Linked DNA regions of Astyanax mexicanus. The protein of the gene in region 2 interacts with the protein of the main gene of each other region in a biochemical or structural test. Links are inferred from orthologs where the notes say so. Each region holds a gene or a part of one and is shown on either strand. Other genes may lie near its edges.

Region 1 (8,586 bases), on a different chromosome or scaffold from region 2:
CTCGCACACCTTCACAACGTGAGGTCAGCAGGTCAGTTTCCTCTGCGGAAAAAAAAGTGCAGAAGCACTGCACTGTTTAAATAGCAATCCGCCAAAGTCAGAGCAAACCTGACTCTACAAGGAAATGGTAACTGACACATTGATTGGTTTATTTCAGGTTACATTCAAAACACACCCATGATTAATCACTTTTAGATCACTAAAATAGGGCTCATAATGTCATCAGTGGTTTGGACCTTCTTGACTATATGACCCTCCTCCTGTTGTGGCATTACCAACTTATCAGCTTAATTGGCTTAATGTTAAAAGGCCAGATTATCTTTAGGCCACTAGTAAAAATATAATGCATAATTTACAGGCATTTTCACACAGACAAAGTGCATTTTTTTATGCAGGTGAAATGTTTGAGAAACAGTTCTGATTTACAAACATGACCTGGCCGAGAGGCCCCAACAGATAAAGGTCTGACACATAAAAAACATGTAAACAAATTAAGAATAAAACAAAATTACAGATTAACATAAACAATCATATGCATTTTAAACTGTTTAAAAGGCAGGAGTAAAAATAGAAAAAAAATGTGGATGGATGGAGTGTATCAGTAGCAGAAGATTTTAAATGCTTGAGTTGAAATACTATCCCATACTTGAAACTTATACTATTTTCAGGACAAATTCAGGGTGAATTGTAATGAAGCATTTCCGCTACAAATGTATAGCTTTATTTACTCTTGCATGAGCTGCGTATCACTTTAACTTTTTCCTCCACCTGCTTTCTTCTCTGATCTCTGACTCTCTCCTTAATTTCCTTTTCTCTCTTTATTCCCGGTCTTCCTCCTACTTCTGCTGCTGCTGCACCTCTTTCCTCTGCTGACCTTCTGATCTCCAGATGAACTGTACGCTCAAAAGCTGAGGGTGAAGGCCATTACTGAGGAGCTGGATCTCGCCCTAAATGACATGACCTCCATGTAGATGAACCTCCCTCACTATCTCTTTTATCACCACTGCCGGTGGAAGATATAAGTGCCTTATAAACCCCCCCTTATCTATTTTTTCCACTATAAAATATGCATAGCGAAGATGCAGGTGCTGCTGAAGCATTAAGAAGTGAGGCTGGCGACCCAGTTCACATCTTACTGTGCCTCTGTTCTTCTGTTCCTCATCTTTTCCTCCTCCTGATTTCTTTTTCTGTGCCTGAAATCTGCTACCTTTATGTTCCGGCTTAAATGATAAAGTTTTAATAAAGTTATTATTAGTAAATCTAATGATCCATGCGCTTTTCCGTTTATTTTAATCAGTTTTCTATCTCTTTATTTTTTCCTTTCCTACACTTTTACACTCACATTTCAAAAGTCATGATATAGCAATATACAAATTTATCATTTATCAAGTGATACATCAAGGGATGGGTTGGAAATTCCTATACCTGTATAAGTTGTGAGGTGTTATTTCGTGTGTGATGCTGGATTATGGGAGTTTGAAATTGATAGTGGATGCAAGGTGGATGGGAAATTCCATTTCCACACTCCAGTCATGCAGGTATTTAACATTCTTTGACCCACAGTGCTTTTGGTCACTGTCTGGAAAGAGCCTTTCCTTTCCACCCACCTCCAAAAAACACACATGGTAGGTAAATTGGACATGCTAAATCACCCCCAGATGTGTGTTACCCTGTCATGGACTGGCACTCTGTCCAGAGGGTATTTCCTCCTTGTACTCACTGATTCCAGACCACCATGATCCTGAACGATGGACGCCACTGAGCAACATACACAGCAAATCTGCCAGTGTTAGATTTACACTATTAATGTTAATTTAACACAAAAATAAAGGTTGCTCACAGTGTTAATTTAACACTAACAGTGTTTATATAACACTGGGGCTTCCCTAAAATGTAAAAAAGGATCAAATTCCATCACAGCCTTAGAATATTGCTAATAAATATAGAATACTGTGAACAAATATAAAGAAAAAAACAACAACCACAGCCTACTGTTAATGAACATGAATTCTGTTCTATAATAATATAAAATGTGTGTATTACACTTATTACAAATAAAAAATTACAGCATGTTTAGTCCAGTACATTAAATTTCAATAAACTCATGTTTTCTTCAAAAGCTAATGCAACATAAAGTAAGATATTATAATATCACAAGTGTGGAGATCTATTATCTGAGGAGGCATAATACGGTTTATGAAACATAAAACAAACATAAAAAATCAGCATAGTCACACAAAAACCCTGTTTCTCCAAATTGGCTATTTTCAAAAAAGAAGAATGAAAAAACTACTTAGTTTTTAATTGTAGTCAATATAAAAAGATTTTATTTCAAGTAATTTTACAGCATTTCTATTGGGGCTGTTTATCATTGCTTAGTTAGTGCTTATTACATATTATGCTGACATTGATAAATACATACCTAGATACACTATATCGCCAAAAATACAGTCGAGAAATTTCCTTAATAATAAATATTCCACAGACAACTGTCAGTGATATTATAACACAGTGGAAGAGGCTGGGAACGACAGCAACTCTCTCTGTCAGTGTAAAATAAAGTGATTCTGACTAACATAGTGCACAAGGGTCACCAACTTTCTGCAGTCAATCATAACACACCTCCAAACTTCATGTGGCCTTCAAGTGAAAGCAGATACTTTTGGCAATATAGTGTATATACTAAATACATAAATATTTCAAATATCTTTATCCGCCTGAATGTCTCAGTGTATCACTGCTTCCCTAAACAAACATATCAACAATAAAAGCCAAAGTTTAGCACTGAAAAAGCCTTTAAACATATGTGACTGTTTGTTGCAGAGAGCATAGCCAACTCAAAGCAGGAGAATCTGAATCTGCACCAAGTCCTGGACCAAACCCTGCAGGAGCTTAACAGCTTGTGAGCATCACAAAGAGGAGACATACCGACAGCAATCAACATTCCACACTTCTCATCAAGCATTCCTGTGTGTGTGTGTGTGTGTGTGTGTGTGTGTGTGTGTGTGTTTGTGTGTGTGTGGTTAAATTGTATTGTTATCTTATATTGTCTGAGTCATGTTCTCTATTTTGGCTCCACACCCTCTCACACATTCTCCCTCACTGCCAAATAGAGGACTTACTTTTATTTTAGAAAGTTGTGACTTTTCATTGAACGCCTGGAAAAGATCTGAATGATGTCACCATCCACATCTGGGAACATTTTCCATATTTGTATCTGTTCCACTTTTCCGTTTTTTATTTATTTCTGCAAAATGTGTCTTAAATAAGCACAAACATTATTTTTCATGTTTTTTTTGTCTCAACACTCTCATATCGATCTTAAATTGACTGTCAAGTAAGGTTTATGATATATCATGTGGATTTAATTAACATATTTACAATAAAATGTCAAGTATGCAGCTTAGTTTAACACTAATTTTTTTTGTCACCTCTTTTTTCCCTTGCACATATAAAAGTCTTTCCAGAATTGTTTGCCAAAACTGATTTTTTTTTTAAACAATAATAAATTTTACACAATTTTGCACAAAACTGTGTGTTTTTACTGAGTGCTATCAGAAGGTAGCCAATGATTTCAGCTTGTGGTTTGTACAGTGCAGAATGTTTTAACGGAATGACAGTTCAAGGGAACTGTGGTGGTCAAAATGAGCTCTAGAAAACAAACAAATTCTGAGGCTATGTCCACACACATTTACATTTTTTTTTTTATAAAAAAACATTTCCCTGTTAGTATCAACACACATTAAAGAAAAATTAAAACATATGTTTCCTTCAAAATTATACACTACTCCCAAAGTACTGTACAGTGCAAGTCACATTACCTAGTAATAAAAAAACTGTATTTATACTTACTCATATGTCAAAATCTGACTTTTTTTGCTATGAGCATGCAGACATTGTTTTTTATGGAGTAGTTTAGGTATTTGAGATTGAGCCAGAATGCATGAGCATGCATTGTGACGTCAGTATTTCAATTCCAAAAGAGTCATAAGAAGGAAACCCTACCAGCTACATCCAGAGAAGCCAAATATGTTTCTGAAACCAATGCTTTGGACTTTTTTGGGGGCTTGAGTAGCTACCAGTGGCCACTGTGTGTGAAAATCATGTCATGAAATACAGTAACAGTAATGGAATGGAAATGGAATGTTCCATCAACATACTTTTACTTTCAAGTTTGTGACATTTGGAGAAAATTCTGTTTTTATCTGACAGGTACAGTATGTCACTTTCTCCAGTGAAACCAGGCAATTTTTTTTTATATCCAGGGATCCATTTGGACATCCCCTGGTACACACATGCATTAGCGTGTACTATTTTTTGCTTTCGATACAAATAAAAAAACATTTATTTGGTGGTATACCACCTTGGTACCACAGTTTGAGAACCACTGCCTAAATGCATCTTTTAAAAAGTTCCCCTTTTATGAATCATCCTTACAATGAAGTTGAGCAGCAGTCACAGCATGTGTGAAGAAGACCTAACCTAACATGAAGTAGGTCCCTGCCAGTCTAGTTCCTCTTATCTAGATTGGCTAAAGAAGTACTGTCAATAGATTAGGACTCCCTGGAGCAGACACAATATCATTTTGCAGCAGGACTTGGCACACTGCCCACACTGACTTTTGGGTTTTTATAGGCTGTAAGCCATAAAATAAATAAATGCTTAAAATAGATTTTTCTGTGTGTAATACATCTTAATATTATATGAGTTTCATATTTTAAACTGAATTACTGAAATAAAGTAACTTTTCAATGATTTTATCAATTTTTGAGATGCACTAGTGTATCCTGTGGATGACTTTTGGGTGGTTCTTTGAATTTTAGTCTGATTGTGGGTGGTACATGGTATAAGATGTGTTCGAGAACCAATGTATTGAGGTATTTTAAGTGGCTATCTATTAGCAGAAAGAGTGTGTGTGTGTGTGTGTGTAAATGTGTGTGTTAAAGTGTGTATGTGTGAGTGTGTGTATGGAGTGAGAAGGGGGCGGGTGTGTGCTCATTACCGCCGTGTGTCTACGCGGCGCTCAGTTACCGGGCGGGATTTCCGCAATATCAAGTATGGCGAAGACTTACGATTATTTGTTTAAACTACTGTTAATCGGGGACTCGGGAGTTGGGAAGACCTGCGTGCTGTTCAGATTCTCAGAGGATGCCTTTAACTCAACGTTTATCTCCACGATAGGTACATTTATTCCAGTTGTTTTTGTCCAGGAAGCTCCAATGACAGGCTGACAGGATCTGCGTTAGCTTTAGCAGCTAGCTACACTTTCTTTCGCTTTGCCGGTAACGTTAGCAAACGCTAGCTAGGTTAAATATCTCTCTATCTGCTCTGTTTTTTAATTCTTCGTCTGTATTTTATCTGTTTTAACCCTTTTATATCTTATTTTTAGCTTTGTCAAAGTGTCAGCTTGGTTTAATTTCAATAAACGACTCTTATTACAGCCTAGTATACACACGGGATATTCAGAGTAGAAGAGGCTGTTCTAATTTCTCAGTTCCACCTTAAAAAGCGCAGCAGTTTAGCGGTTACATTGGGAGGCGCCTGCTCGGACGTTTGAACGTGTGCTGCGCGATTTTAAGGTGGAATTAAATTCGAACGGGAAGCTGCGTGGCTTCGTGATGGTAGCCTGTTAGCATTAGCTAGCGTTAGTTAACCTAGCTATCTGATTTACAAATTAAAAGCTAGCTAGCTAACGTAACGTAGTGTGATTATGGATCAATATTTCATCTATACATAAAATGAGTAACGTTAAATTTAACCACATAATTGGAGGAAAATGCCGCATTAGCAGGCTGGTTAGCAACACGACCTGCTAGCCTAGCTATCTTGTTAGCTAGCTAACCTAGTTATTCACCATCAAGCTTGCTAGTCTTTACGTTAGCTAAGCTAAGCTAAGCTAACCAGCTAGCTAGAGCAGTGGCTGTGAGTAAGCAGTATGTGGTTAGCTAGCTATGCTAACTAGGTTAGATAAGCTGTTAGTCATTTAATATAACTTAGTGGTTAACAAACCTCTATGCCAAAGGCGTTCCTGTAAAATTACGCAGTTAAACTCCGTGTTTGTCGTTCAACAGTCTGTTTACAGCTGTGTATTGATTGTTACTGGTGTTGATCTGTGTCTAAACAGACTAAACTTAACTCCTACAGTATCAACAAGTACTATTTAAAGGTTATTTAGTTTAATAAATCGTTCCTTCAAATTAATACATTGTTTTCAGTTTACACTAAGGCGCCCCCTCTAAACTGTAGATAGCTAGGGAACAATTTATTAATCTATGTTGAGAGAAAAATAAATTAAATTTGGCGAATGGATGGCAAACTGAGGAAACATTTGATTAAATTGGAAGAATGTATGGTAAAATGAGGGAACATTTTATTAAATTGGGACAACGGATAGTAAACTAATTGAACAATTTATTAAATTGGAAGAATGGATGATACAATGGGGGGACAAATTATTCAGTAGGTAGAATGGATAGTAATCAGAGGGAACATTTTTTAACGTACATTGAGGGAACAATTTATTTAATTGGAAGAATGGATGGTAAACTGAGAAAATAATTTATTAACCAACATTGAGGGAATGATTTCTTAAATTGGGAGTATAGATGGTACACTGAGGAAAGAATGTATTAAATTGAGAGGGTGGATAGTAAACTGAGAGAACAATTTATTAACCTACATTGAGGGAATAAGTTATTAAATTGGGAGAATGGATGGTAAAATCCGGGAACAATTTATTAACCTACATTTAGGGAACCATGTATTAAACTGGGAGAATGGATGGTAAACTGAGGGAACAATTTATTAAATTGGGAGAATAGGTGGTAAATCGAGGGGGGAATTATTTAATTCAGAAAACATTTCTTGTCTTATACTAATTGAGGCACAAAGATAATATTAGTTTTCATTTTGGGGAATGCTTAATAATTAAATTGTGGAAACATAAATTGTGGGAACAATTTATTAAATAGTGAGAATGGCTTGTTTAACTTGGTTTAAATTCAGCTAAGGGAATGGTTTATTACAACAGTGGCTTGTTAAACTGAGCTAACAGTGTATTCTAATTTATTCAAAGTATGTATTAACCCTTATTATTATCATTATTATGTATTAAGTAAGTCTGTATTAACCCTTGTAGTGTTACAGCATATCAGTATTTTGGTTTGTTGTTCATAACAAATATTTATATGTTAACATGTTCTATATTTTTCATTAATATAACGTTTGGCAATTATGCTTTTGTCTGGTCTGCAGTCTGTGTAGATGTCTTGAACACACATAGTCAGCCACTGTCTCATTATGGTCAACCAGAGAGGAAGTAAATGTCTGCCTAATGCTTACATTAACCATTTTGCTCAGTCATTTATACTTGCTGAAGAAACTAGAGCAAATTAGAAACTCTATATTTACTCTCAAGTGATGCCTGCTGTGTTTACCTTCTTACAGGTATTGACTTCAAGATAAGGACGATAGAGTTAGATGGAAAGAAGATCAAGTTACAGATATGGTATGTTGCTGAACCTTTGTTTCACAAGCTTTTTGTCGTACTTTCCTTTGTCTAGTGAAAGTGGTGTTTGTGGAAAAGCATTTAAACAAAACAAAAGTGCCAAGAGCTTCAGCTAATCTTCACTGAACGTGTAATGGAATGCCTACCTAATTCCCAACCATTTTCCATAATAAACGTAACCAGAACTACCAGAAGGTAGATTCTTGTAATTCTTGTAGATTCTTGGGCAGTGCAAGATGATTTGTTATTGTGAAAAATGATCACAGCAAGTTTTATTACAAAGAAAGCATGACTAGTTTATGGAGATGCCTCAGTAGTGCAGTTCAAGTTACCTCAACTAACGTTACTATCCTAGGCCTGGACGGCTCATATCTTTCAGCTGGAAAACAGCAGGTTTGTGAATATAGTAACAGTTGTAAAGGTAGTAAATTGAGAACGTGATAAATTATGCTTAATGATTCATTTCTAAATCGTAATTTAAGCAAGTAGAGTGTAAATATTAACTCACAGCATTTTTCTAGTTGACATTGTTTAGTGTAGCAATCATATTTAAGCCATAGAAGCCTCTCCTGGTTTGTTATAACATTTTTATTTGGGTTTTGTAGGGACACGGCAGGACAGGAACGGTTCCGAACAATCACAACGGCATATTACAGAGGGGCGATGGTGAGTTATTGATGTATTGCAAATAAGGGTATGCCATATCATTTTATGTAGTAGTGATATTTTGTCTTGAAAGCAGTCTATTTTGTATTTGTTTTGCGATATGTGTGGAGCTTCAATTTATCTTTGTGTTCAATTGTATCTGTTTGCAGTTAATATGCATGCATTAATATTCTGGCTTCATTTTTGTTTGTTACACAATTAATTTTGTTTTATTATTATTCTTCATCTTGTCTTTTCAATTTTACATTACTGTTTCTACTGAATGTTAAAAACTGTTACACTAAATAAAAAATTAACATTTATTTTATTATTACGATTAGTAGTATTAGTATTTCTCACAGTAATAGCCTGATATATACATCATATGTATATGATATTATTTTAGGGCCTTATTGCCCACCACTAATTGCAAC
Region 2 (8,309 bases):
GTGGTCGTCCACCTCCTTTTGATTATATTTAGAGGTTTTGAATGGGGTTCGGATCTGAAGATTGACCGTCAACTTATTTGAATCAGTCAGCAACAGCAGGATGACGTCAAGTGACCTACAAAAAGAATGGCAACAAAAATATTGTTGGTAGTATATAGAATTGAACAACTATATTCATTTTACTCAAACATACAGTATACCAATAAATAGACATTTAGAATAATTGATCATTTTATATAGTCTCTTTATGTTTTTTCTGGAGCTGTATATAAAGAGATTTATTTTAATGTTTTTTTATATTTTAGATTTTTGTTCCACACACACATTAACACATAAAGGCATAAACTAAACTGTATTCAGAAAGTGTCCCAAGACTACTTTTCAGCTCTGTGTGAAACAAATGAAAGCTCTGTGTACTGTGAAAGATAAATCATCATATAAGCTTAATTAAATTTATGTCACATTTCCAATTAGTCAAATGGAGCAGAGTCAAGATTTATAGACTTTTGCTATTAAAAGTGAATATAAATAAAAAAATTCTTCTTGTTTTTCTTGAGTGTGTCATCCTTCCACAATTCCACAAGTCTGATCATTCTTTATATGATGGATAGAGTGAATAAATCAGTCTGGAAATGTTCGATCTTTCTTCTTTCTTCTTCTTTTCTATTCTCTAAGGTCTCCCGGAGACGGTGGCTCTGTACTTCGTGTCGGGAATCTGCGCCGGCCTGGTGTTCCTGCTGTGTCTGTTCGGGCTGAAGTCCACTCTGGTGCGGGACGTGAAGGACCTGGTGTCTGAGCTGGAGGACGAGCTGAAGGCCGCCCGCAGGTCCCGCAGGGGACTGATCGAGGACTTTGATGACGATTATTCTTCTCTGGACTCCGGCTTTCGTCACCTCACTCGCTCCTACCGCGCCGCAGACATGCTCAGTCCAGAGATGGTCATGACTGTGGTGATGGAGGACAAAAGGACGGAGGAGGACAGGGACAGAGCAGAACTGCCGAACGGAGACCTCTGGCCGCACTGTAACTCCAGCCCTTACGCCTTCCACAAAACCACGGCTTCTTCTACCTGAGACTCAAATCTGAACAAAAAGCAACTTTACTAACAACAGACTAAATCTAATTATCTTATTCCTGCATTAATGAAGCAATGGAACAAACCTGAGTGAAGCCAAATGTCACAAACATTATGGTGCTCTGAAATGAATTAAAAAATGTAAAAAAAAGTGTAGGTCCATTCCACTGAACGGGTGCCATTTCTAGTTGTAACTCTTCCAAATTAAACTTTTTTTAAAAATATATATATATATATAATTTTCAACTCTAAATTGAATAATGCGTATTAAACTATTCAAAACATGTATTGGTCAAACTCAGGCAGCTTTACTTAAGTTTTACACGGTTTCTAATCTGAAGATAGTTACAAAACTCCTGTGACATATAAAAAGCTTGTTTACATTAGAAAAAAACACTTATTCCTTGAATTTTTCTTTAATGTCTTTATGTTAAAGAAATAGTTGCATGTTCAAATTATTGATATTTATGACAAAAGAATCATTCCTGGTAATGGCACTCATTTCTGTTACTGGCACTCACTTCTGTTACTGGCACTCACTCCTGTTACTGTCACTTAGTCCTGTTACTTTGTATGTTTTGAGTAACAGGAATGATTTTTTGGATAGAATTTGCAAAACCATGAAAAATATCTAAATGGGAATCTTTTCCCAGGTGCAGGGTAGGTTAGCTAGTCTGGCATTGTTAATACAACAAATAACGTTATTAGATGTTTGTGTTTCGTTTTTGTATGATTTACTGACACCAGAAGTTAGCAATGGACTTCCCTCTGTACTAATTATGGTAAGGTTGACTTGTATAATACTGAGAAGTAGTACTGGGATGCCCCAGTTATTATTGTTTTGTTAAATTATTTATTGAAGACTAGACTATTAGACTTTCACCACCATTCTGAATTCTATATTTCTTTAAGCCTAATGTTGAGCTGAAACAGAAATTAAAGTAACAGGAAATAGTTTATAGCATAGAATTTGCAAAAACATGAAAAATAGCTAAATAGTGGCTATGCTAATAGCACGAGGGAATTGAGCACATTCTAGTGATTTTCCAAAAATGTGTATTTTAAGAATAAACAAATAAAATCTAAAAATTAATTTAGGTAACAGGACTGAGTGTTGAGATTGAACTCTCAGTTATCGTTACAATAAGATCAAATATACAGAAAAACTAATGAGTGAAATTAATTTTGGTCTTCCTGTGATCTTCAGAAAAAACAGCTGATGTCACTTCCTGTTGTAGAATGTTCCAGACTCAGGACTGAGTGAAACCCAGAGACACAACTACTCTAAAATGTGTATTTTAACTTAAACATTATGAATTCATTATGAAAAAAAAAAAACATTTTAAAGCATAGGTGGGATTTGGATTCACACAACAATGCAAAAAAAAAAAACATCTCTGAGGGATTTTAATAATTATATTTCATGGTAAAGTTTATAGTTAGAGAGTGGGGACAGGTAACAAATGCTTTTTTTTCAGTGTTCTAAGTAGTTTTTATTAATGTTTTTAATTTCACATTTTACTTTTGCAATTAGGTCAATGTACAAGACGCTATTTTTAATAATAAAATGTATTTTAAAGCTATTTCGGGCGCACATTTATATATGTAATTTCCTAAGGACAGAAATGGCACCGATTCTGTGGAATGGCCCTGTAATTTAAACACAGTAAATAATAAGTAATGTATGCAAAATTATACTCTTAAATAAAAAAAAAATTGAATGTATATTTAATCATGTCTAATTAGTCAGATTTTTTTCAATGGAGCAGAGGAAAATGCCTTTATAACAAATATTATGGAGGTCAGTATATATATACTCATTAATATAAGGAGTTTCTCACATAAAGACAATTTGCTATGGTGTAATTGTATGCTATGGTTTTACTTTAACATTAATCTACAATACTCAACAAAAGCTACATGGTTATGCAATGTTCCATCAATTCAGCATCAATTCAAAAGTTTTTCTTATTATACAGGTTTTATTTCTAAGAGATGAAAGTCTAATGCGTTTCTTGTAATGTTTTTTTGTAAAATGTACAGACATAATAAATACATTTAAAACATGTAATATATGGCAGTATGTTTTTGTCAGAATATTTTGTGGTGTGTTTTGCAGACAGATTAATTTGCTTATTCTAAAATTGATCATATGATTTGTGTTTGGCCAGCAGAGGGAGGCTTCTCCATTTAACACAGACTGAACACTGTTCTATAGTAAACTGTACAGAACTGAAACTGAAACTTTTATTTGTCTATATATTTATAATCATAAAAAACATATAGGCGTGGTCTGAACTTGTTTGTACATCATTGAAAGTCATCATTAAATGGTTTCTATCTATCATTTATAAAGGCAGCATTTTAATCAGCTGACTAATATTTTAATTTTATTTATTGAATCATGGTCATTTGTTTTGTTACAGTGTGACAGTAATAACTGTCATTAATGATTCAAACTGTGAATCATTTCCATTTTTGCTGCAGTTTTTAGATGATCTTATCTTATATTTTTGCTACTGTTGTTTGAAAGAACCTGCTTACTAAGAATTTCTTACTGTCACAAGTTTATTACACCTTTGAATTACACTAAAATAATGGTAGTGGGGTGTGGGGGCTATTTTTAAGGTGAAAAGGAGATAATGAAGTTGTGGGGACGAATCCCCACCACTTAATTATCTGGTTCCCACACCTTAATAAGTCACCCCATGATTTAATTGTGGGGACAAGATAATTAAATTATGGCGACAACATATATGGTCAGGACTTAATGATCTCCTTCCCACGCCTTAATAAGTTCATCCATTTAATCAAGCCATTGAATGAGATAAATAATTTGGGACTTATTTAGATGGGTTAATAATTAATAATAATCTTGGGGATGACTTAAGGCATAAGGCATAGGAACGAGACAATTAAGTTTCCCCACACTTTAATAAGTCATCCCCACCACTTAATATTCTTGTTCCTACACCTTTATAAGTGACCACACGACTTAATTATGGGGGCAAGATCATTAAGTTGGGGGTTATTAAGGCAAAGTCGTGGGGATGACTCATTAAGGCGTGGGAACGAGATAATTAAGTTGCAGGATTATTTGGCCAGGATCTAATTATCTCATTCCCACACTTTTATAAGTTGTTCCCACACCTTAATAAATCATTCCCACCACTTAATTGAGGGAATGAGATAATAAGTCATGGGGCAACGTATTAAGTCAAGGGGATTACTTATTAGGTCGTTGGCCATATAAGTGGTCCCCACGACTAAATTATCCAGTTCCTATACGTTGATAAGCCATCCCCACAGCTTAATTATCTTGATGCCACACCTTAATAAGTTGTGGCCACGCATTATTAAGGCGTGGGAATTAGATAATTAAGTTCTGGCCATATAAGCCGTCCCCACAACTTAATGTCGTTTCCACGCCGTAATAATTCGTGGCCACGCATTGTTATTATTACTATTTTTATTTCTTTTTATTTTAATGTGACCTTAAGGGCTCAGTATGCGCACATTCTGCGCAGTGTGGTGTGTCCAGACGCTCCGCCCGCTTGGCCCTGCGGTTTTCTCACGCTGATGTGGAGCAGCGATGCTAAAGCTAAAGCTAATGCTAACGCTAACTAACATGCAGCGCTGAGGCTGCGGACAGCTGGCGGGGCGGCGGCGCGGACAGTCCGGCGCTGAGAGAGCCTGAGGACCGGGGCTACCGCTGTCCGGCTGGAGGGTTCTGGGGACGGTTCGGCTTGTTAAGCGGCGGTTTGAGAGTCGGGGTGAAGTCGTTAGTGTGTCTGTTTTTATACTAAAGCTGCGGGGAGTCGGTTCTCCGGTCTCTGAACTCGCGGGGGAACAGTTTTTTTATCGGGTTGACACGAAATTAGCTGAATTAACAACTAATCTTTGTGGTTTATTGAGGAGATTTGGGGAAGGAGAGGGTCGTGGCCCGGTGAGTTAGTTAGTTAGCATAGCTAGTTAGGCTAGCTAGCTCCGCGTACAGCGTCTAACAGCGTCTCGCTGAGCCGGTATCTCGGGCTGAAGGCCGGCCGACACGGGTGAACATTCTGGGGCGGGGACTGGAGGACTAACCGGAGGAATAACCGGAGGACTGGAGGAAAAACAGTGGGAGGAAAAGCTGCAGCTGCAGCAGCACAGCCTGCTAACCTGACCGGAGAAACAGGAGATTAATGGAGTAAAGCGAACTAAGTGACAACAGAGCTAAAGTATGGATTCTTCTCTGGATCTCTGCGAGGAGAAATGTCTGACTGTATCCTTTAAAATGGTTTAATTTCGGTTTAAAAAAAAGCTCTGACTCTGCTTACTGAGGCTAGTGTAGCTAACAAGCTGCATATAGATTTATAAACAATCCAACTAGCTAGCTAACAAGTTGGTTAAGTTAGTTAATTATGTAGGTTTAGGTTATTTTAACTGAATAGATCAATTTAGATCTGTTCAGTTATCTAGTTAGTTATCACGTCCTAGTTTTATCTATCTATCTATCTATCTATCTATCTATCTATCTATCTATCTATCTATCTATCTATCTATCTATCTATCTATCTATCTAGCCTATTATTGTTTAGCCATATGACAAAAACATTAAATAAAAATAATAACGTATATAAAGAATGCACTACTGCAACAAAATGAATATTTAAATGTATTATTGCATACAATATGATACAGCACACCCCTAACTGAGATATTTAAAAAAAAATACGAGTTTTATCAGATTTGCAACAGAAGTCAATGATCCAGAATGTCATGATACTAGTAATGCACTTCTCCAAATATCTCCATATATCCAGGATAAACACTACTGCACAGATATGATCTTTAGTACTCTCTAGTAGATATATAATGGGAAATGAGAACAGTGTGAATTTTATGTTTGCTAAGAACAGCAAACAAATAGTACCCTGATGTGATAAATAGGGGTGGGTGATATGGCACAGTATTTCAGGGTATAATATCGTTCACGATATTCAAAAATGTTGGTGATATTATTGCGTATGATGCGATATGGCACACCCTAAGTTTAGAGTACTAAGAAATACCAAGAGAGTGAAGTTAAAATGCTTTTATTATCATTACATCTGAAGACAGGTGCAAAATTATGTTCATCAGGAACCATGATGCAACATGGAACAACAATACAATAGACAACATCAGCTTCATCTCTCTGTGAGTTGAGGAGTCTGAATGCCTGGTGAAAGAAGCTGTTGCAACTCTGCTTGTTCACATTGCAGAGAACCTCACCTGGTCCCTCAACACCAGCTCCAAAACCAAGAAAGCCCAGTAGCGCCTCTACTTCCTATACTAAAGAGAGCATCTTGAGTGTCTGCGTTAATGTCTGGTTTGGGAACTGTAACATCTCGGATCACGAGACCCTACAGCGGATAGTGAAGACAGCTGAGAAGATCATTGGAGTCTCACTCCCCTCCATCACTGACATCTACACCACACGCTGCATCCGCAAAGCCTTCAGCATTGTGAATTTTCGCTCTGAAGATAACAGACCGTCCGAGCCTCCACCACTAGACTCTGGAACAGTTTCTTCCACCAGGCAGTCAGACTCTTCAACATACAGAGACACATACCAGCTCAGTCAATCCGAAACATTTCTTTTTTTTTTTGTGACCAATTTTTTTATTAGAATCCGAAACATTTTAAGATCTTTAAAAGTCTACTCGAGTGCAGTTATGATTGAACTGGCTCTCATCAGGGCCACCCCATGAAAGGAAGTGCAAGAATTAAGAGAGATAGTTCATCAGTGTTTCCAGCGCCAGAAATCGCAAGTTAACAGCACCCTGGATAAGAGCATCTAAAGTAGTTTAGTATTTATTTATTTATTTATTTATTTATTTTTTTAACACTTTTAAGTTACTACATGATTCCGTACGTGTTCCTTCATAGTCTGAATGACTTCAGTATCCAGTTGACACTGGCCCCACTACTTTAAAATACATTGATTTAATCCAATTTGTATGTATTTTTATTCATTTTAAAGTTAGAAAGTTTTACTGTGATGCCTAGTCTCTATGTAAGTTATAAATATGTAAAATTTTGGAAATGGGCCAAAAATATATTTTATATCAGTGGCCTAAAGTGTTTTTAAACTGTATAATAACATTGTTAATTACGTTAATTTCTACTGCAGAAATAAACAAACTAAGATGTATTATAAAAACAGACCTATTTCCAGTGTAATATTCCTTTAGGACCAGTCTAACCCTACTAGAGGAGCACTGATGATCAGTCAGGTGTTAAACATATCAGCTTTTCTGTAAATCTCCCCTCTACATTTTTCCTTTTATCTTCCACCGCATGCCTTTGACTCCTTAATTGCAATGCTTAGACGGTGAGGGGGCATGAGCTGAGGGCTGGCCAGCGAGAACCAAGACTCCTCTCGTTACTGGAGCGCTCGGGACAGTTTACGTGAGTATCTATCTGATTTAAATTGTCTTTCATTTTTCTTTCTCCTGATATTAAATGCAAAAAATCTCCAGCTCTGTGTAGAAACCTTTTATTGTGTATTATATGAGCAGCTATGAGTTTTTTTGTACATTTCTGTACAATTTGTATCTGTTTTGCTTGTGCGTGTTGTGTTGTGTTCTGTTCTGTATATTAATACTATTAAGCAGTCTGATAAGCATATTTTCTTTAGATTTGCTTTTAAAGTTCCCTATTTATGTATATAGCTATTTCTAAGTGGCTTATTACTTTCACACACTCTATTTTGGCCTTAAAACAAGTTTATCTCAAGCTGTGAAGGTTTTGCTTCAGTGTGGAAGTGTGGAACTAAGAAACTGATCACTATGGATGTGTTAAAACTCTTTGGACGATTGTGCACTGAGGCAGAGTGTGTTTACCAGTCATGTTTTCAGGGTTGTACAGGCTGTGTGTGAGAGAGTCTGAGAGAGGGAGAGTGGCGTTCCGGCCTGCCAGCATGCTGCCCATTATCCTGCATTCCACCCTGGTGTCCTAAAGCCTAATAAGCCTCACATGAGCACACAAACTCTCTAACTGCATTAAACGTGTCCACGCTGAGCCTGGCTCTGGGCTGAGGAACAGTGCCGTGAGGTGTAGAGGGCTGTGAATGCTGTGTGTGCTGTAGAATGAAGGCCTTGGGCAGTGAATGTGGTCACCAAACAATGGGCTCAGGGAACTGATACTAGTAAAGTGGCCTACTTACAAAAAAAAAACTCAACGGCATAAAAACCCAACGTTTTTGCCC

Evidence for each region. The genes of interacting proteins can lie anywhere in the genome.
Region 1: the proteins of ocrl (region 2) and rab8a form a complex in vitro, tested with the Homo sapiens proteins (2 studies listed by BioGRID and IntAct, with this or other methods). The link is inferred for Astyanax mexicanus from reciprocal best matches to the Homo sapiens genes OCRL and RAB8A.

What each region holds. Positions count from the first base shown.
Region 1 is NC_064411.1:48,023,397-48,031,982, reverse strand, and holds the start of rab8a (ras-related protein Rab-8A), read left to right. Parts: upstream 1-4,991; 5' UTR 4,992-5,057; coding exon 5,058-5,181; intron 5,182-7,446; coding exon 7,447-7,507; intron 7,508-8,112; coding exon 8,113-8,173; intron 8,174-8,586. Other genes in the region: tpm4b (tropomyosin 4b), read left to right, coding at 889-971. UniProt on the Homo sapiens protein: The small GTPases Rab are key regulators of intracellular membrane trafficking, from the formation of transport vesicles to their fusion with membranes.
Region 2 is NC_064417.1:49,198,947-49,207,255, reverse strand, and holds the start of ocrl (inositol polyphosphate 5-phosphatase OCRL), read left to right. Parts: upstream 1-4,658; 5' UTR 4,659-5,297; coding exon 5,298-5,339; intron 5,340-7,430; coding exon 7,431-7,510; intron 7,511-8,309. Other genes in the region: si:ch73-335m24.2 (protein eva-1 homolog C), read left to right, coding at 676-1,073. UniProt on the Homo sapiens protein: Catalyzes the hydrolysis of the 5-position phosphate of phosphatidylinositol 4,5-bisphosphate (PtdIns(4,5)P2) and phosphatidylinositol-3,4,5-bisphosphate (PtdIns(3,4,5)P3), with the greatest catalytic activity towards PtdIns(4,5)P2.